Linked DNA regions of Drosophila melanogaster. The protein of the gene in region 1 interacts with the protein of each later gene in a pairwise test. Each region holds a gene or a part of one and is shown in the gene's direction. Other genes may lie near its edges.

Region 1 (4,500 bases):
AATTAGAAGTGATTTTCTTTAAGCTTTGGCGGAGCCGAATACTTTTCCTTAACGTGAGCACGGTACTCCTCGTCATCATCGTGGCACTCCTTATAGCATAGAGTGCAAAAGAGTTCCCCACCACATCCGTGGCATCGGAAGTCGGCGTCTTCGTTACAAATATTGCACCAGGGCAATTCTTCGGTGTTGCCGGGCGACTCAGTGTTAATTGGACTAATTTCACTCTCGGAAGGTTCTGGTAAGCGCGATTCTGCTACATACTGAATGGGAATACGAAAGTGATGATTTGGCTTAAAAAAAATAATGCTACTATATAAATGCGAACCTTTTTCAATATGTTCTGTAGAAGTGTCTCGTCATCCTCTTCGTTGTCCGCGATACTTTCCATCTGGGATCTCGATGGGCATGCATCGGAATCGACGGGTGTATCGCGCAGAGCTCGCAGACGTCTCTCAATGTCGGAAATTGAGTCATCCCTCTGCCTGCTGATATTTTGATCCAGTTGGGCTTCGTCAACGAATTGTGCGAGCAAGTCCCTCATTTTCTCCTGATCGTTTCTTTGGTCGGTGGACAGTAGCAGATCTTTCTTATCGTAGCTTTTCGTATGCGGCATCCCAGTGAGATTGGCCAGACGGGTGCGGATCTCATCATCGGTGGCATCAACTCGTTTATAGTCCTGCATTCGTTTGGTCAACTCACTGTCCAGGTTCTCATCAATATGATCCTTGTGATCTTTGGAATGTGGTGACGAACTGGAACTGGGAACCAATGCCTGTGGCAGCTCCTCCACAGGCAGGCTGTCGCTGCAATTAATCGAATTATAGTTTCAGAATCGGTGTTTTAATGTGGTATTTTACTTACTTGAATAGGGCATCGGCGCCATCTGAACTTTTGGATGGAGGAGCCAGGTTCATTTTGGTGACTAAGATCCCCGGCAAAGCATCACAGTCTATAACTTTCTCGGCATCGGCGCTCGCCTGGAGTTTGGATAGTTTGTCGTAGCATATGAGGCACACATTGTGCACCTTTCCTGCATGACGGGGCACGGGCATTGGTCTCTTCAAGCACTTGGAGCAGAATGAGTAGCCGCAGTTGGGGCATCCATACTAAAATTTCGGATTTAACACAATGTAAGTAGGTGATATATGTTGGTTTGCTTTGGTTTGATGGCACTTGCCTCCTTGCAGAATAGGCCATATTTGCGACCGCAGCCAAAGCAGCTCATTGCAACCAGAGTCACCAATGGAACATATAAATTGAAAAAGTTTCAAATTTCGTTTGCTTTGTTTTGAAAGAAGCCAGTTCTAATTAGGGATGGTGTACAGTGTACAGTGGGTGAGCTATCGATTACGACTTAAACGCATTAGCGTTCTAAAAATCAGCTGTTCCTTGTTTTGGTTTAGTCTAATATCAATATTATTAAATTCTTGAGCTTTGTTGTGACCAGATCGTTAGGAACTAGAGATAGTCGAGTGAGTCCTGGTATCGATTGTCCATGGCACACAACAGCTGTTAATGAATAGTATTTAGTCTTGTAAATGTATTTAGTAGTTTATTTTGTTTACAAATCAATCGAGGACTGATCACTGATCACTTTTCAAATGATTCATTGAGATCCGAGATTTTTCACCTAACTCGATAGTTATCTAACGCGAGCGTGGACTTTGGTCCGGTGGAGACGGGCTGTTATACAGGCAGCTATTTACCGATAGGGTAAAGGTCTATCGGCCTCGGTCAGGTATCGTCAGTGCAATTGTTTTGAGGTGCTAAGACGTCAATTGATTGACTTGTCCACACAATCAATTTAGCAACATTCTCTGATTCGGTTTAACAATACTTAGCACGGCAAGTAGAAGCAAACAGTGAGCGAAAACAAACAATAAAATGAGGGCAAACAAGTCAGGTTTTGCAAACAATACACTTACAATGTAAGTAATTTTGAGAAGTTATACTATTTGCTGTGCCACAGGAAGTTATATATAGTTTAATTAAGTTATAATGCGTTTAAACGCAATCCCTGGAACTCGATGTATATGAGCATATAATTCCCCTTGACTCCAATAGGAAGTGCTCCATGAAAACATTATGTGACATCTATACGTACTGTATAAATAAGCATATAATCGGTTCCAATGTACATATGTAACAGGTAGATGGAAACCTTCTAGCCCTATATACACGCGAGTGTTTGAGTGTGTAGATGTGTACATAAGTACGCACATAAGTCCAGGTACATATGCAGGTATACCGTCTTGTTTGCCAACGCAATTCAAACAAAATTTGACTTTTTTGTTTAATTTATGTGGGTGCAGCCAATGGGAATGTTCGGTGCATTATCCTTGAAGACTTGGTGGTAAATACGCCCTTTGGGCGGTTTTCGTAGCCATAAACACCACCCCATGGGGTCGGACAAATGCTGAATGCTGCGGAACTCGGGGGAAACCCCCTTCAAACTGCGCTTGAAGTATTTAATTAAATTAAGTCATATTCAAGAAAGTGCGGACCTTAGTTGTACACCAGAAATGGCCTAGGAAAATCATCTAAGCAATCTAGGCACTTGTCAATAGGGTGAACACAGACTTACTTAGCAAATTTGGGTTTCTAAATCATCCAACGTTACGTTGCAGCTTGAACGACTAAAACTTTACCCGCATCTTGGGCAAACCATGGAGGAACCGAAAAGTGTATCCACAGCGGAGCTTCCCAGCACATCAACCGGGGCATCGTCGTCCTCATCGACTTTGTCCAACAACGTGAGCTACGACAAGATAGCCTGGACTCGGGATATCACAGAACCCTTGGCTGAGGAGTCATCTACAAGTCAATTGCGCCCGCTGGGTACCTCGATTCCAACCAATTCGACGGCATCGGAACTGAAGAAGTCCAACACTTCGTATTCCTTTACTGGAGACTATCTATCTGGTGGCAATAAGGCCGATCTGAAGGGTGGCTATCCATTCGGCGGCACCGATACGGACACAAAAGCCAACGAAAAGGACAAGGAGAAGGAACATACCGCAGACGACTCACTCTACGAGTGCAACATATGCCTGGACACCGCCAAGGATGCTGTGGTCAGCATGTGCGGCCATCTGTTCTGCTGGCCGTGCCTGCATCAGTGGCTCCTGACGCGTCCCAATCGCAAACTCTGTCCCGTTTGTAAGGCTGCCGTTGATAAGGATAAGGTCATACCGCTGTACGGAAGAAATAGTACACACCAGGAAGATCCACGGTAGGTTTGAACCGCTTTCAACATGAGTATTTTTCAATAACCCAACTTATATGTGTTTTGCAGTAACAAAGTTCCACCACGCCCCGCTGGACAACGTACAGAACCAGATCCTGTTCCCGGGTTCCCTGGATTCGGATTCGGCGACGGATTTCACATGTCTTTCGGTATTGGAGCTTTTCCTTTCGGGTTCATAACATCTAGGCTCAACTTTTTCGAACCACGTCCACCTGGTAGGTTACATGCCATCTCAATAGTTCTGAGATTGACATTAAATAACATTTGCCCATGTATTTAGCTGATATTAGAAGGCTACACGAAGATGAACCCTGGGCCCTGTCAAAACTGTTCTGGCATTTTGTCGTTTTTGTGATATATGGGCTGCTCGTTCCAATAGTGCACGGATCATCCCGATAAGAAGAACCTATATTCAAATGTCAATGGAAAGCGTGCGAAGTAATCAAATAGCAGTATCCTCCAGTTAAATCAACAATATTGTTAAACTCGTTGGGCTATAGTCGTTGGTGTGATTAATTAACATAAATTGTTAGCATTCGGTTATAATTGTAATTTGAGGATTCGCAAAACAGAAGTGGATTGGGTCCCAAATTATTTCAAAAAGTCTGCAATACCCTACGACTTCAGCATAAAAAACTGAAATTTCGAAATAATTGGATCGTAATGATTTAATTCAAATGTAGATTTCAAAAATTGTATAAATTTATATTTTAAATTCTATAAAACATTAAAAACATTTATTTTAATTTATTTTCCGTGTAGATTATTATCGATGGGTGAAAAAAATCATTAAGTTTTTGCTTAACTTAAACTGCACAACATTCTTTTTAGGGATCAGGGATAACGTGAATTTCGAAGATGCTGAGGATATGGATGCATGTATGTACATGAAGATATCGGCTTATCTTGAGTATGAGATGTATGATATATGTACCTTCTACCGATCGCTCTAGAAGATCGCCTCCTTTAAGTGGGCCAGTTTGTTGGCAATGGAGGGGGACGCCTCATCACTGGCTCCATAATTGGCTGTGGTGATGCGCTCCACCTCCTGGGAATTGCCGATAAAGGATTCTGCTCCGTGCCAAGAAGCTCACTGCAACCAGAGTCACCAATGGAACATATAAATTGAAAAAGTTTTAAATTTCGTTTGCTTTGTTTTGAAAGAAGCCAGTTCTAATTAGGGATGGTCACGTGATTTCTGCACAGTGGGTGAGCTATCGATTACGACTTAAACGTTTATAGATGCATTAGCG
Region 2 (4,662 bases), on another chromosome or scaffold:
GTGTTTTATCCCTAAAAACTGACGCAAATGGCATTGCAAGTACAGGAATAATGGAGCCGTGGATAGCGGGTTGGTGGGGCAAAAACCACGTGCCGAATGCGACGCATGTTTTGAGTCGAGGCGAAAACAAAGGCACGCACACTTCAAAATCGAGTAGTACACCATACTGGACTTACTTGAAACATGTGAGGTAGCAAAGTGTCGCAATTACTTTTAAACTACAAACTATTAATCACTGAACGATGCGGTTTGTACAAGTTGGTCGAAAAAAACTTGTACTTTGTGATTTCACTTGGATGCAGCCGCTGCTCAGAAAATGCAAAAGCTGAATGAATCAGAACGCTTTTGAATTGAATTTAAGCGAGGGAAGTTGAGTTTCTGTTTATGGAGTTGTTTGGTGCGAGAGAGCAAGAGATAACGCAGAGGAGAGTTGATTTAATCAAGCTGAAGCATGGATACCCTTACGTTACAAGACAATAAATGTATCTTTTGGTTATCTGGTTATTTTATGGGGTAGGAAACGCATCCCTCTTCACACAGTCATAATACATATGCTTCGAAAGGGAATATCGGGGAGAGTAAAAGAGAACCGGCATATTTGTTTGTGTCGGTCACTCGTTTTGTTTTGTGGCGAAAGAGCGCCACAAAAGGGGAGCACAAACACGTGTGTCCAAAGAGTTGGAGAAGCAAGAAGCTCTTCCGTTTTAATTAGTCTCCGAATGTCTATTGGGTATATTTCTTATCCGAAAACTGTTGTTGCGTTGGCTCTCAAAACTTCCCCACACGCTTTTGCTGACACGTTTTTTTCTCGATCGCCATTGAGCTGTGCGAAACGTGAATTTGAGCAGTAAAAGAGAATGTCGACTTTAATGATTTTTCAGGTATGAAATATGCCCTCTAATTTTTTTGATCATATTTTTATTTTGTTAACATTCAACTTATTAATAAGAGTTTGCTGAAAATGTAATCCACTTAATTGTTTATCACTTAAAAATTTTTTAGGTAAAGTTCTCTCATATTGATTTAAAATTGCAATGTGAATAAAGTAACACTTCGTGTACCCCTTTTCCAAGTATAACCATTATAAACACAGGATCGTATGGCGCATAATTAATGGCTGTCTATTATTTTTGGACTGTTGCCAAGAGAGACCTACGCCTTAGAAGATTAAACTTCTTGTTTTTGTTTATGGGGCGCAAAACAAGTTTCAAATTTCCGACCGCAGACAAGGCGGGCGAGCGTAATGGAACCATATTACTGAGGTCAAAAGAACTTCGATTATATAATAAGGCCATGTATTCAGTATTCAAGATCAGAGACGCAATGGAAAATAACCTTTGACGTGTGCCAAGGAAAAGCTGCGGCTTTTTTATCCAATGGTACAAAAACCAACTTTGGAATTGATTCAGCCAATCATTGTAACGTAAATAGATTTTATCAACAAAGAGGTAAGAATGAGTACTTCGTGTATGGGGCTTAGCTGAATTTATTAGGAAAGTAGTTTGTAAATATGGTTATTTTTATGTAGATTTTGCTTTTGTTTCTTTTCATTTGTATTATCGAAACGAGTTAGGAAAATGTGTCGGTTAAGATTCCCAGATTCTGATATGTCGCCTTCAGGGAAACAAAGTCATCATGTCATCCAGTGGACATAATTGGAGGACCAATGTTAAGAAGAAGACTCCTCCTTAAAATGTTTAATAGGTTTTAATATGATTAAATAGTTATGAGTTGAGTGAAGTGGGTGTACCTGGGTAGTATTAAGGGCGTATCTAGGCAATATATGGCTCGCAGCAAGTAGCACCAATTCATTACGTCCCTATGTAATAGTTATTTATTCATATGCTAAACATTTGAACATTCGAACTTCGTTAGCAATTTTCGCGCTCTTTCCCCGAAGCCCTATCGATACGTCAATCGATAGGCGAGCTTTCAGAATTATCCGAATGCACCGCGGCGGTCACACTACGGAAAAACAAAAAAGAAATAGCGCTGGCAAAATAGACGTGCTGAGCGCTGTAAAAAGTCAGATTCGTGTTGAAATTGGAATAATAAGTTTTTTATTTTCCGTGCGCTGGTCGAGCTCGTTGCTTCGACAATTCGAAAAGCGATCGAAAGGAGCAACCTTGTAGGCCAACAGCCAGGCGTAATTTACGCAACGCACAACACTCACAAAATCCAAAATTGCACGGGGGGGCAACAATAAAAACAGAGGCAGAACAGAACACAGCAAGAAGAGCGTGGTGAAGAGGAGCGGCGGAGAAAGGAGAACGGTGAACAGGGAACAGGGAGAGAGCAGAAAGGAGAGTCCGAGAAACGGAGGAAACATCATGGCGAACATGGCAGTGTCGCGGATCAAGCGGGAGTTCAAGGAGGTGATGCGCAGCGAGGAGGTGAGTCCCGAGCTCCAAGGCCGAAGGACACTCAAACGGCACCTCGGCAATGCCAGCTGCACCACCGCCCCTGGTCGTGGTGCAGGGGGCGGGGGAGGGTGTCCGCGAACGTTGGTGGCGTTTTTGGCGCGCTTATGGGCTCCGTTTTCTTTGTGAAATGTAAACATTGGCCCCACTGATTTGTTAATTTGGCTTGTAATCCCTGAACAGATCGTCCAGTGTTCCATCAAAATCGAACTGGTCAATGACAGTTGGACGGAGCTGCGCGGCGAGATCGCCGGTCCGCCTGACACGCCCTACGAGGGCGGCAAGTTCGTCCTGGAGATCAAGGTGCCCGAGACATATCCCTTCAATCCACCAAAGGTACGTAATAGCCATGTCAGACTTTGTGCACCTATACAATATGCTAGCTTAGAAATAAACAACTCTTACATGAGTACACCTCATCTTTCAAAAATCGTATCTTATGACTTCACTTCGTAGAAAGTGACACTTCTATGAATCCACAATGTTAACTTGAATTCTGAAAGGCGCAATAAGAACCTGTAACTTGTAATTGAAACCTAAATAAATTGCAAACTTCTTCGCAGGTACGCTTCATAACGCGCATCTGGCATCCGAATATATCGTCGGTTACGGGTGCGATTTGCTTGGACATCTTAAAGGACAACTGGGCTGCAGCGATGACACTGCGCACCGTACTGCTGTCGCTGCAGGCGCTCCTGGCCGCCGCAGAGCCGGACGATCCACAGGACGCAGTGGTGGCCTATCAGTTTAAGGACAAGTACGATCTGTTCCTGCTTACGGCCAAGCACTGGACCAACGCGTATGCGGGCGGACCGCACACCTTTCCCGATTGTGATTCAAAGATCCAACGTCTCAGGGACATGGGCATCGACGAGCATGAGGCGCGCGCCGTGCTCTCCAAGGAGAATTGGAATTTGGAGAAGGCCACCGAGGGCCTGTTCAGTTAGCTTGTCCCAGCCGCACTAGCATCAGTACCATTCGCGGCGGTGGCAGCACCAAGAACACCGGCCAACTTCAGCATCAATCCTTCAGAACGGCAATCACGCTAAATTCTTGTACACTCACGCACCAATATATTTTCGTAAATCTTATCCACGAAATTACATTGCCCTGTAGTTATAATAATTCTCTGATCTGTTCTATAATTTTATTATGATTAATGTGCACATCTTTGCCGCTGGGTGGGTCACCAGAAGGTTGAGCCAAAGGCCATGCCCGCGCCCCATTGAGCATGTGGTGTTATGTAATTGAACCCAGGTTCTGTTTCATTAATTTACGTGCAGTCGCATTTACTTGCAGGCTCTTTCTTAAACAGTACTGTTGTTTTCCATTTCAAGCTTAAACTAAAACACAAACAAAAATGATTTACAAAACAAAATAAATGTGAAGGCGAGGAGTGTATAACAAATCGAAGTCTTTGTAAATTGCGTTAAGTTAATAAATAAATAAATAAAAATATTAATAAATGTCTAATGAGAAGTTATGATTTCGGTTTGTGAAGAAGAGGCTGCAAACTTAAAATAGATTTTTGTAAATCATGCCTAGACTGAAGAATGGAAAATGTAATTTACCCTAGATTGATTGAGATATGTAATGTATATTACTATAATTCTTGTTTAATCCATTTTTTAAGGCTCTGTCTAATGCCAAAATTGAAATAAAATCCAAATTCTTGGTGATTTACAAACCAAATAATTGCACAAAACGTGAAAGTAAAATAGAACCCATCGATATCATCCAGATATAATCATTTATATATATATTCTTCTACATATTCATTTAATTTTTCTACATTTCAATGTGAATATTTATGGTTTGCACTAAATATTTGACTAATAATCTGTCACTAAATATTTGGTCTACGATGCTTGCTGGCGAATCCAATAAGTTAATGACTTCACACATATAATACGAATTTCTACTTGTGCTTTTGCTTGGACATGACGGACACGGAGGAGCCACCAGTTGCAAGTGCGGATCCCAGGCAGCTGCTGTTGCTTTGAGCCACGGATGTGCCAGTGGCATTGGTTCCCTGGATCGTGTGATGGCTGTGACGTTGCTTGAGCATCTCCTTCCATTCGGACTCGAGTCGCACGTAGGAGCCACCAAGCGGTTGGGCATTCTGCACCAGACACTGATCCGTTCCGGTCTTTTTGGTCACATAATTGGCGACCTGTTTCATGATCTTCTCCTCGAAGTCGCGCTGATGATCCTGGTTGCTGCGCGCTGACAACTCGCCGGA
Region 3 (6,855 bases), on another chromosome or scaffold:
CGAAATATTAATGTAACAGTGAGTATTCAATACGAGATACAGCTTTTAAAATAGATATAGAATTAAATGTAGCCAAATTTAAATAAAAAAAGCATCTTTGCTTAAAAAACTGGCAAAATACATATATTTCATAGCTTAAAAATAAGCTAATTGTTTGTCCTATTCTTTCTTACGGGTATCTACTGTACATCGAAAATACTGTGTTGAATCAGCTGTTTGTACTAAACACATCTAAAAAAAACACATCCATTCTAGGGACCACAACAACTTTTCTAAACTGTCGTCAGTATAACTTGTCAACCCAAATTGGATTGACAAATTTTTAAAACAATTATTGTACTCCGCTGAAATTAAACTATTTACCGGCGTTCAAAGCGGAAAACTCAAAAATACCTACACGCGGAACAGCTGAGTGCGGTATTTTTTAGTTTCGCTCACAATTTGTACGTGCGATGCACGAATCGTTTTCAACACTGCCCGGAGGGTCACACTATCCACTCAGATATTTATTTTTCTAATAACATTTACTTAAAAGCAGACTTTACGCAGAGCTTTGGCCACGGAGGAAACGGAACAGATAGCCAGCGAGCGGAGCAGCCAGGACTTGGAGCAGGAATCGGCAGGAACACCAGGACGGATTTCCCCAAGACAAGCAGTAGTAGTATGTCTTCGAAGTCGCCAAGCGAGGTGAGTTCCCTTTGAAGTCTTGGGATAATTTCGATATCCGAGGCGTATTCAATATAGTAGAGGGTTTTAACCGCAGCTGGGCAAATGTTAACGATCCGGAAAGGTTTCCCTTCCGCAATCGCGTGTCGGACTGCCATCCCACGAGTAGAAGGTTCAACGTCATCTTATCGTTCTAGAGATTCATAGCTGAGGAGTGACACAGCGCTCTGCAATGATAAGCTTGTCCAGCTTCTTGCTCGATCTACCAGTCCGTCTATCGTTATATAACTTATTGGTTTCTGCAGGCCGAGGTCGTCTGACCCCGGTCGCTAATTGCTGCTAACCCCGCCATAATCGGGCCGCTGTTTGTGCCCACCCACAGGCCACAGACACGGCCCAATGTCATCTGCCTCCCAATGGCCAAATGTTTACATGGCATTCATTGCACTTTCCCTTCGCCTGAATGCTTGTTTATGCCACATAAACAATGCATTTGCATTTTGGCAAAAAACCTTCGATCCTTGCCAGCTCGATGCTCTTTAGGGAGCTGTTAACCTGGCATGGGGAGTTTACTATAGCTCGCTTGAATTTCATTACTTTAAGGGTTTGCCATATGACCATAAAGTTTATAAAACCTGTGTATGTATCAAGTCTTGGCATTGTATCTTTGCTCCTTGGCAATACGTCTTATATTTAAAATTGTATTGTATATTTTACCGGTCGGGATATTTATTGTGTACCTTTTTTAATAAGCATTTTGTACCCGCGCAAATATAATCTGGTTTAATATTGTTCGTTTATGCAGCACCTTTCTCATCAAGCAATGTCTTTTGTATACACATAAGTACAATACATATGTGGCTCACGCGGATCGCTCTCCCGTCTGCCGAAAATAGAAGCTCATCGCCATTGACGCCGCTCGCATTCAGTGCTCGATGCCACGCGAATTCGCACGCGCCGCTCTGCCAGATTCTTCGCGACGCGAAATTCATAAGCCAAAACACTTCGATTCGGATCCAAAGTGCGCAGGTTTAACTTTTGCCAACCATTGATCACCGGTGGCCAAGCGTTTTTCCCAGGGATCCTCTTGTCCGCTCCTCAATTGCGACATCATTGGCACGCGCGAAACATATTAATTGCCCGGCGCTCCCATTTACTCATTAGATCACTATAAATAAACAGCAAGCCATAGCCACCACATTTTAGAACCAGTTTATAGATCGTTTTCAATACCATGAAAAGTGTTTTCAAATTTTGTTATAAATCTGATATCAGCCTGTAGTTGAAAATCAAGAAGTATCAAGCCTTCGAAGTGGCATCATGAAATATGCATGGGCCAATCCGATCACAAAGAATATCAGATTCGCCATAAGGAAGTGTTTTGCCTTGTTAGCACTCCCGCGAGTCAATTAGTGATTTATGGTTGAGTTTAAAAGGCGGTTTCGAATGGCATCCAAAGGGCAGCAGAGCAATTTAGCTGTTTGAAAGTGTCTCCTTGATAAGGTCTTGGCAATAGAGGGATTATTGAAGTCACTGACCTGCCAAACGTGATCGCTGATCGGCAGATTTAATCGCTGTAAAGTGTACCTGCGCAATTTCATTGACGTTGCGATTAATATGTCACTTTCCTCATCAGTTTTCGCATCACCTTCACAGCGAAGAACGCTTTAATCTCAGAAGAGAGACACCTTTGCATTTAAGTCGCTTACATTTCATTTTATTTTAATTTAATTACTGCGATTCCGTTGTCTTTTCCTCACAGCAACAAGTTTCGCACATTGTAATTACACACGCCTTTCACGTGTCTGCGACAACAACACGTCCTCGTTCTGATGGCTTACGTTTCCTAGATTTCCCTACGGCTATATACAATACTTCCATGTCAGCGGCAATCGGCCAAAGGAGATGCTCTAGATGCGCTATGGAACTTGTTGCTCATCCGCCGCGAACGTGACACATGTCGATTGCCGCTCTCTTCAAGCTGATGATAAAGCCGAAACTGGCGCATCAGGTTTTCGTTATTTTATAAAACGCCACTCAGCACGATCTCTGACGTCAGAATGTACGATGATGACGTACCCGATGATTTATCGACCGGTGGCGAAGGGGGCAGGTGGCTTCTTGCCAAGTTTAAGGTTGCAGCGAGTTTATTATACACACTTATGGCCCATCCCTCGGTTCTTCCGCTTTCACCTTTACCGTAATGCGCTTAGCATTTCTCCGGTTCAGGAAATCGCTTTATATGGTTTTCAGACCGGGCCTCTGGGCCTCCCACTTGCATAATTTGGCCAGAGTGTAGTGGCTTGGGTTTGTTTATTTTAGCCTGGCGTGTGATTCACAGCCCAAGGTTGGCCAGCAAATGCGATTTCCAAAACATTTTTCGTGGCGTGATTCATTTCAAATGATTTCCCCATCATGCAGAGCCACCCACAATCCAAATCTTATGTGTTTATGTCTACGCTAATCGTCCTTCACCCTCTGGCTTACCTCCAAAATACTGCGGCTATCAGCTGCCAAAATGTTTATCAGCCACAAAGATTTTGGTGGTGGCACGCTTTATTCCTCGGCCATTGTGCTTAGCCGAAAAATATTCTAGGAAAAAGCGAAATAAATAAAAAACAGACGCGTCCCCCCTTTCCAGCGCCACCAAAGTCTGGCAGTCGCTGGTTTATTTGTTTACACTCTGCTTGGCTTTTATTGCCGAAGAATTTTTCGAGTCCATTGTTTGGTTGTTTTGGCTGTTTTCATAAAATTTCCCAGGCAGCGCTCTTCTAGACGTTGGCATTCAACTGCAGTTTTATTTATTTATTTCTGGCTGATTCAAGCAGCTTTTGTTTTGCTCTCTAAGTTTGATTGAGTCTAAAATAAACGCAAGTAGCCCCCGCTGAGTGTGGCGCGTGTTTATTGGTCTGGCCTACTTCAGCGCTGATTTTTTCGCGTTTGGCGGCCCATTTGGGTCCATCATACTATATACTATACTATAGTACACTATGGTTGCGGAACTTATTTAATGGGTCCACTTAAATTGGCCTCGCTAAGTGGTTGTCGATCTGTCGCTTCATTTAGAACCAGTTCTCTGTAAACCAGTGTCCGACTTATATAATCGATCATCTTCTAGGGCCCTGCTTGATTGCTTTTAATCATGAGCAGACGCTCGTCTTCATTTCAGTTTAAAAGCCGAAGATTTCATTGTGCCATCAATTGAAATGTATGCCCCATTGACGTATGCAACCGTCTTGAACACTTGTGTTCCTTTTGTTCGAGTATGTGCAGTGAGCAAAATGAGTTCGCAATTTACTGGGAAAATGCTTCTTTATGAACTTCAGTAAGTGCTGTTTACCAGTTGAACTTCCGTAATATTAAAATTGTTGATTATATATAAATATATTTTTGGTACCTCAATGCGTAGAGCTTTTCCCACACTGTATTAACATATACGTAGGATGTGCTTATCGCCACTTCCGTCGCTGTAATCTAATCGTGTGCTTATCAGGTAATGGCTGCGTGCCAGGGCAGTGGTCCGATAAGCGTTTCTGCCAATACCTTTGGTGGAGCGAGGGGCTGTGAGAGCCACCATTTCGTGATCCGGGGACACAATCGCGACTTAAGTTTAGGACCAAACCAGCTGGACGGGCAACTTGTTCAGGTTAACGAACTAGTTTGGGCCGTTTCTCGCTGCACTTGCGAATTCTCATTTTTGATAGTGCACAACCAACGTAGATATGTATACACAGATCGGGTGAGAGCGGGGGGTGGTGCGATTGGAGAGGTGCCGAAAGCGGCGACGACTTCTACTACTTGTGCCCGACAGTACGTACACAGAGACACGTCGCTACATCGGGCTTCGTCACTCGACTCGCCCTGCAGTCTCTCCCACAATTTTCTGGGCGCTTTCCTGCAGTCGTCCCACGAACGTTGCCGCAATTGGTCTACACGAATCGGTTCGCTAATAAAATGACTGCCATGCCCCACGCCCACTCTCGCCTCCTAGGAAAAACGCTGGCATATTGAACTGTGCGACTAACTAACTTAAATACTTAAAAGCAAGCCCAGCAAGCCGAGAGCAATCTGCCTAAAAGTGACAAGTTATAGGTGACACAACAAAAGCTAAAATTTGTGAGAAACTGTGTGAAAACTAGAACTACAAAATGATGAAGCTGTTTAAAAAACCCAAAGACAAAATACCCAAATCGGAGATTTTAACCGAGCCCAAGGAGCCCAAAACACCGCCGGTCTCCAAGTGCGGAAAACCTTTGCAGTTGGACAACTCGCGATGGGAGGCAAGTATATTCGAGATATTAAACCTGAACTTTGGCCAGATATCGCGTTCGAACAACTGGTCGTTAATATACATATAGTGTTCCATTGCATCATGAGTATGTAGTATTTTGAGTTTCAAGAAATCTGCGTGAATCTTCTGTTGATTCTCTTCAAGGCTGTACCAAGATTTGTTTTTATTATTCTTGGCATTGCCAAATCCAAACCTTATCGATCAAACCCATTTATCCGCAGCTCATTTGTGGGGGCAGCGGTGCGATACTTGTTTATGGTACAGAAAACGGGCCTGCAAGTGCCAATCACTCGATAAGAAGGGGGATCCGAAAGACGGAAAAACAATCGTCGGTTCTATAAATTTCAGTGACATTTGTTTTTATCTTATCGAGCATTTCGTTTATTTATACGCGCGTAGGCATATAGCGTATATTGGCGTTTGTAAGCCAAAGGAGAAATGGCGCACCGATAAGGCGAGCGGAAAAAATAAGTCTTGAGAACTCTTAAGTAGAATGTCCCAGCTGTAGGTGTGTTTCGCGATAAGATATACGGCGAACTGTCCGAGTCATTAACTAATATAAGTCTTAAATTTTATTTTCTGCCCCACAGCGCCGCCTACACAAAGAGCTGATGTCCCTGATCAAGGAGCCGCCACCAGGCGTAACCATCGACACCGAGAGCGTACAACAAAATTTATCCGAGTAAGTATGGACTTCGAGGCGGAGTAGGCCAAGTTCAGCGACAACTGAAACTGGTTTAAATCAATTCGCAATTCAGCAATTCGCACTGAAAACAAAGCCCGCAGTTGTTGGAAGCTGACACTAATATCGCTGTTTTGTTTACAGATGGAAAATAAACATTAAAGGTTTCGAGGGCACACTTTACGAGGGCGAGGACTTCCAGCTACTTTTCAAATTCAACAATAAATATCCGTTCGATTCGCCAGAGGTAATAATTCAGTTGAACAAAGCGAAGCTGTATGGAATCTTAACCATGTTCTCTTAATTTCCAGGTGACCTTCATCGGCACCAATATACCGGTGCATCCGCATGTCTACAGCAACGGACACATCTGCCTATCCATTCTGACCGAGGACTGGTCCCCGGCGCTGTCCGTGCAGTCCGTGTGCCTTAGCATAGCCTCCATGTTGAGTAGTTGTCGCGAAAAGAAGCGTCCGCCGGACAACACGATATACGTAAAAACCTGTAATAAGAATCCTAAAAAGACTAAATGGTGGTACCACGGTACGTATGCGTGATTTTCCAACTAAAGCCCACTGACTCTAAACTTGACTAATTGTTTATTTCAGATGATTCTGTTTAGTTAAAATTGCCATTTACTAATACTGCCTGCTATTGTTTGCTTTGCGCATCCAACCAAAAAAAAAAAAAAAAAAAAAAACACCATTAGCAATACAGAAGTAGAACACGGCGAGATGCCCCCAGAAATCCAAGAAATGTGGGACGGCGGTCAAGCACTGCTCGTGAGTGGAGCATACTAAAACCCAAGTGCACTCGGATGCGAACGTAATGTGCAACAAAGTAAATGAAGTTAGCGAGAAACTTATGGGTAGTGTTTGGCAAACAATCGTGGCGCATGCAAACAATTCTAATTGTAGCTATGTGTAATCAACAAAAGGCGTGTGCGAAAAACTATTATTAAATGTTAACATTTTAATTAGATTGTTAAGACCAAATTTATGTCTAAATTAAATGTTATCCTACCATTTAACCACTAAGCGTATGCAAACCACTTGAACGTTTGATAGTTCTGGCACCTCGCGCCAGTTGCTGCTTCCACATTCCACATGCATCGTTCGCGGCATTTTCTGCCCGAGTAGCGTGACCCAGCACACACACACATCGCCTCCATCCCAGCTTATATTAATTTTGTGTATTTTATCATCATAGATGAGAA
Region 4 (4,805 bases), about 11 Mb from region 1:
CAATAAGTCACGGAAACCGCTGGTCATCAGCTTTCACGGCCAGCCCGGTACGGGCAAGAATTTTGTGGCTGAGCAAATTGCAGATGCTATGTATTTGAAGGGCTCCAGGTCGAACTATGTAACCAAGTATCTCGGACAAGCTGACTTTCCCAAGGAAAGTGAGGTGTCTAACTATAGGGTGAAAATCAATAATGCGGTGCGCGATACCTTGCGTAGCTGCCCGAGATCTTTGTTCATCTTCGACGAGGTGGATAAAATGCCCAGCGGAGTATTCGACCAGCTCACCTCGCTGGTGGACTACAACGCCTTTGTCGATGGCACGGATAACACAAAGGCAATCTTCATCTTTCTCTCGAACACGGCGGGCAGTCATATAGCCAGTCATCTGGGTAGTGTGATGAAGAATGGTAGGCTGCGCGAGGACACACGACTGAGTGACTTTGAGCCCCTTTTGCGGAAGGCCGCCTATAACATGGATGGCGGTATGAAAAAGACCACCATGATTGAGTCTCATGTTATCGATCATTTCATTCCGTTCCTGCCGATGGAGAAGGCGCATGTGATCAAGTGCCTGGAGGCGGAGCTTTTAAGGTGGCGGCGCGATCCTAAGCAAGCGAACAACCAAAAAATCATTGAGGACATAATAAACTCCTCCATTAGTTACGATCGCACGCACAGCTTGTTCGCCATTTCGGGCTGCAAGACGCTGGAGAAGAAGGTGGCCATGGCCATTTACTGAGAAAGGACCGACCGACTCCACATTTTAATGCTTAGTTTGGGTTTCGGTTTGTATTTAAAAAACTATTTTTTCGGAATAAAGAAAACAAATTTTAACTACCAGGGATTTAGCCACTTGAGGCGGGCATCTTTGCGCAGCAGATCGGTATCCAGTCGCTTGGGCTGCTCGTCGTAATCCTGGCGAGCCGCCAGGCGGGTATCGATGGGTCCCAGGTCCTTGGTTACCAGGCACTCGCCGTTCTCCTTGAGTATCGTATGCCGGACATCCTGGGCAGTGGGCTCTCCGTAGGGGAACGTGACCGGCGTAACCTTAATTAGATGCTTGATCTTCCACAGGCGGGCATTGTTCTCCGGTATGTTCTTGACGACAGTAAAATCGCTCTGCTTTCCGTCTAGTCCCAGATCTTTGAGGATTCGATTCTCCCAGTAGGGATTGCCCTTTAGCGGCTTGATGCGCTGCACCCGGAAAAGTTTCGCCGGCTCCACGGGTGGATCCTGGTGATCGGGAGTCCTGAGCGGGATAGATTTAGCATTAACAAATGCTGGATTTCGTGTGTTTTCCTTTTATACACTGCACACGTGAATACGAACCTGGGATAGTAGGTGATACCCTCAAATTTCTGGCCATTTTTGTAGAGGAACTTCTTGTTGTGCTTTCCGTAGCTGCGCACCGAACATGCGGTGCTCCTCAGTGGATTCAGCAGCCTTCCCAGGTTCATCTTAATTGTTTTCCCCCCTTTGTAATAAAATTAAATGCAAAACGCTTATGAAATAATTGATGTTTCCCCGACGATAACGATTACACAGACATCTGGTTAACTAGTTGCCTATCGATGGGCAGCATGGATACTGCCGTTATGTAAACCAATGTTAACCGCTTGCTGTTAAGCGATACAATTCAAATGCAAAGGCGGCAAAGTTAAAAGTGATAATTTATCATGTACAAACTGAAGATAATTTATCATTTACAAACTGAAGATAGCGAAAACATTATCAATAAGATGGTAATATATATTCGTTGTTTTTTTTTTTAATATTTCAAGAATTAGTTGAGAAAAGAAAGTTTTTAGGTCATCGGATTACACAGCCTCCAGGGGATGATGTCCATTTCTGGAAAGGGGCGGTCTCATATCAAAATCTCCGCCATTTTGTCAGCTACAATTGGCGCTAATCGACGAGGGTGGATAACTTGGCATTGGCTGGCTTTCAACGCAATGGGGTTGTTTCCGATTTTGGTTATAAAGGAGGCTGCAGCTTCCCGACCGGAAGTCAGTTCCACGTGAGCATCCATCCGGCGAGCAACCGACTCTAGTGGCAAGCAAGGATATCTGCCAGACAACTCAAGGATCTAGAATAACTCTGCACCTGTGATAACTGCTGTAAGTTCAGGCAACAAAGCCCAAAAATTGTGAGCAATGCAAATGAAGTGAATGTACTAGCGAGTAGAATAATCAAATTAAAGATACAAATAGCTGAATGAAGTCTCTAGTTCGTTTAAAATTATATCTAGAAATTTGTTAATTAGCTAACTTGACCATGTGCACGCACTCGACATGTGTAAGTGTACTGGAGTTTCATAGTCTTGAGGGGACTTGAGTTACACGACAAGTTCTTAAAACTAGATCGGATTTCCATCATCCCATGGGATCAATAGACACGTCTTCGACTTGATGCAATTCCAGTGACACTTTTTGGACCCAAAACCCATTAAATCAATAGATATAAAATCATACGTTAACCGCAACAATACAAAAAAGGGTGGCCAAGCCTAAGGGGTTGGCATCGCTGAGGTTTGCCAACTCCCGCGGGCAAATAAACGTGCCGATTGTTCAGCTATTTGTGTAGGTGTGAAAATATGCTGCGAATAAACAATACACGCACAATGCCGACAATAAGCACAATAAGTACAATAAAAATAAATGAAAATAATAGCAAACGCAAACAGAATGCAGCGAAAAAGGGGTGTGTCCTTCATCGGCAAGGACGACACACACACACACGGACACCCTTCATCACAAATGTCCACAAATGAAGCATAAATAATTCGAGTGCAAGGATTATGATTTCTTCAACGCCTATTGTAACCTTTTTTTTTTCAATAGCATGAGCGCTCCACCGCAAAGGTAGCCACACTTTTCGTCTTCCTTGAGTTTGAAATGCAGATCTGTGAAGCAATCAAGTACACATTTCGTTGTATTCATAGTCTAAGCTGTGCATCCTCTTGCTTCCATTTCCATTTCCAGCATTCAGCAGCAGGCTGGGCAGCGCAAGAAAGTCCAGTGTCCAGCACCGAAATCAGTGGTGCAAATAGCCAGAGAATGGTCTACGATATGAGCCATATGGCGGCGGGTCCGCCGCAAAGCATTTCGCTTAGTCGCTACTATCTGGTCGACGATGATGAGATGATTGGGCCAAATAATCCGCATCTGGTCAACGAGGACTATGCGGCCAGTACGACGCTGGATATCGATAAGCGTTTTCAGGCGCGAATGGCGTGCGAAACGGCCGCACAACCGGCACCGCCACCGCCGCCCACGCCGGCGCCACGTCGCCGGACCACGCCCATTGCCCATTTGGATCCATCGGAATTGGTGGGTCTATCGCGGGAGGAGCGGCGTCGTCGCAGGCGAGCGACACTCAAATACCGAACGGCACATGCGACGCGGGAGCGTATACGGGTGGAGGCATTCAATGTTTCCTTTGCCGAGCTGCGCAAGCTGTTGCCCACATTGCCGCCGGACAAGAAGCTTTCCAAGATCGAGATCCTCAAGCTGGCCATCTGCTACATTGCCTATTTGAATCATGTGCTGGAGACGCCCTGAGATAGCGCCGGCGCCTCCAGTTTCGCCACCAGCTGCCTCTTTAACGAGGCCAATTTTTTCGCCCCCCCGTAGGAGGTGGGGGGGCGTGGCGGGCGGATTTAGGGGGAAAACATTGCGAATATTCCACATCCGATAAACGCATTTCACCATGCTCTGTAATCCGCACATCGCTCCATTGGATACTTTGCCGGTGGCGGCTATGGATAATGCGATTATCGAATTAGCCATCTCACCAACTTAACCGAAGTGTTCGATGGATTTTGCCGATTTGCTAACCTATTTAACCTATGGTTAAATACATACATTTTTTTGTTTTTTGTTTTTTTTTTTCCTTGCCACTGTTGAAAGACAAATGCCCGTCGTTTCGTTTCGATTCGTTTTTTTTTTTAGGCTTAGGTTTGTTTTCGTAGAAACAATTGTAAAGCCACGATTTAACCTAAGGTTAAAATATGCCCGTACTAAATGTAGAAGATATAAGCTATTAGTTTGTGTAATTTAATTGAAAAGTAGAAATATCGAAGGAAATAACAAAACTAAATATGCCAGTAGTACATACAATTAAATTTATGGGAAAGCAGTGCTTAATCCTCGGAGTAAACCTTGATCATGGTTTATATAATATAAATAACCAAGAAAAAAAAAACAGAACCTTAAACTAAGATCCATTTTTTGTCTAGCCTTTAAGTCGTGATATTTGTTTATACTCAAACGATTAATATATACAGCATTGTAATCGCAATAAAAAATTGTCTACTTTATGTATTTTGGCGCGCCTTTGCACGACACTCCCCTCGACTTTTGGACACCAGCTGCTCTGACTGAGTTTTCCATTTGTCTGAACGCTTTGCTCGGAAAAGCCAGATGCTAACAGTTCCCCCTTTTTCACCAACCTTCAAGAACCACGTATCCACGTATCAAAAGCGGGCGTGTCCTTTGCGCCAAGCCCCGCCCATTTGTGTAAAAGCGAAGTAGAGCAGCCTCTGTCATAATTTTCAAAAATTGAGGATACATTTTTATTTTTTTGTTTTAGAAACTGTGAAAGCGTCACGGAAATTTCGACTTTTGTGCAAAATTTCGAAATGGCCCTTCATTTTAGTGCACAGCAGGTAAGACAAATTTATTCTAGTCGATTGGGAGGCTGTTTTCAATATCCATAAATAGTGGCCTAATTTGGTTGGTACGGGTAACGGGTATATATATATATACATATATATATATTTGTGTGGATCCATGGATGTAAACATT

Evidence for each region.
Region 2: the proteins of sordd2 (region 1) and Ubc4 interact in a two-hybrid assay, tested with the Drosophila melanogaster proteins (one large-scale study listed by BioGRID).
Region 3: the proteins of sordd2 (region 1) and CG7220 interact in a two-hybrid assay, tested with the Drosophila melanogaster proteins (one large-scale study listed by BioGRID).
Region 4: the proteins of sordd2 (region 1) and HLH4C interact in a two-hybrid assay, tested with the Drosophila melanogaster proteins (one large-scale study listed by BioGRID).

Annotation. Positions count from the first base shown.
Region 1 is NC_004354.4:15,796,399-15,800,898, reverse strand, and holds sordd2 (suppression of retinal degeneration disease 1 upon overexpression 2), read left to right. Parts: upstream 1-1,736; 5' UTR 1,737-1,928; intron 1,929-2,627; 5' UTR 2,628-2,666; coding exon 2,667-3,232; intron 3,233-3,295; coding exon 3,296-3,462; intron 3,463-3,527; coding exon 3,528-3,646; 3' UTR 3,647-3,991; downstream 3,992-4,500. Other genes in the region: CG15602 (uncharacterized protein), read right to left, coding at 3-260, 326-803, 862-1,106, 1,178-1,225.
Region 2 is NT_037436.4:9,696,363-9,701,024, forward strand, and holds Ubc4 (ubiquitin conjugating enzyme 4), read left to right. Parts: upstream 1-1,973; 5' UTR 1,974-2,330; coding exon 2,331-2,393; intron 2,394-2,603; coding exon 2,604-2,756; intron 2,757-2,983; coding exon 2,984-3,367; 3' UTR 3,368-4,119; downstream 4,120-4,662. Other genes in the region: CG6761 (uncharacterized protein), read right to left, coding at 4,339-4,662. UniProt on the Drosophila melanogaster protein: Catalyzes the covalent attachment of ubiquitin to other proteins.
Region 3 is NT_033778.4:10,731,110-10,737,964, forward strand, and holds CG7220 (uncharacterized protein), read left to right. Parts: upstream 1-1,589; 5' UTR 1,590-1,687; intron 1,688-4,271; exon of another isoform or gene 4,272-4,710; 5' UTR 4,711-4,814; coding exon 4,815-4,946; intron 4,947-5,547; coding exon 5,548-5,639; intron 5,640-5,783; coding exon 5,784-5,886; intron 5,887-5,950; coding exon 5,951-6,182; intron 6,183-6,247; coding exon 6,248-6,261; 3' UTR 6,262-6,316; downstream 6,317-6,855.
Region 4 is NC_004354.4:4,644,619-4,649,423, reverse strand, and holds HLH4C (helix loop helix protein 4C), read left to right. Parts: upstream 1-2,009; 5' UTR 2,010-2,117; intron 2,118-2,981; 5' UTR 2,982-3,056; coding exon 3,057-3,560; coding exon of another isoform or gene 3,561-3,632; 3' UTR 3,633-4,297; downstream 4,298-4,805. Other genes in the region: torsin, read left to right, coding at 1-739; mRpL30 (mitochondrial ribosomal protein L30), read right to left, coding at 835-1,249, 1,330-1,457; CG3062 (uncharacterized protein), read left to right, coding at 4,640-4,666.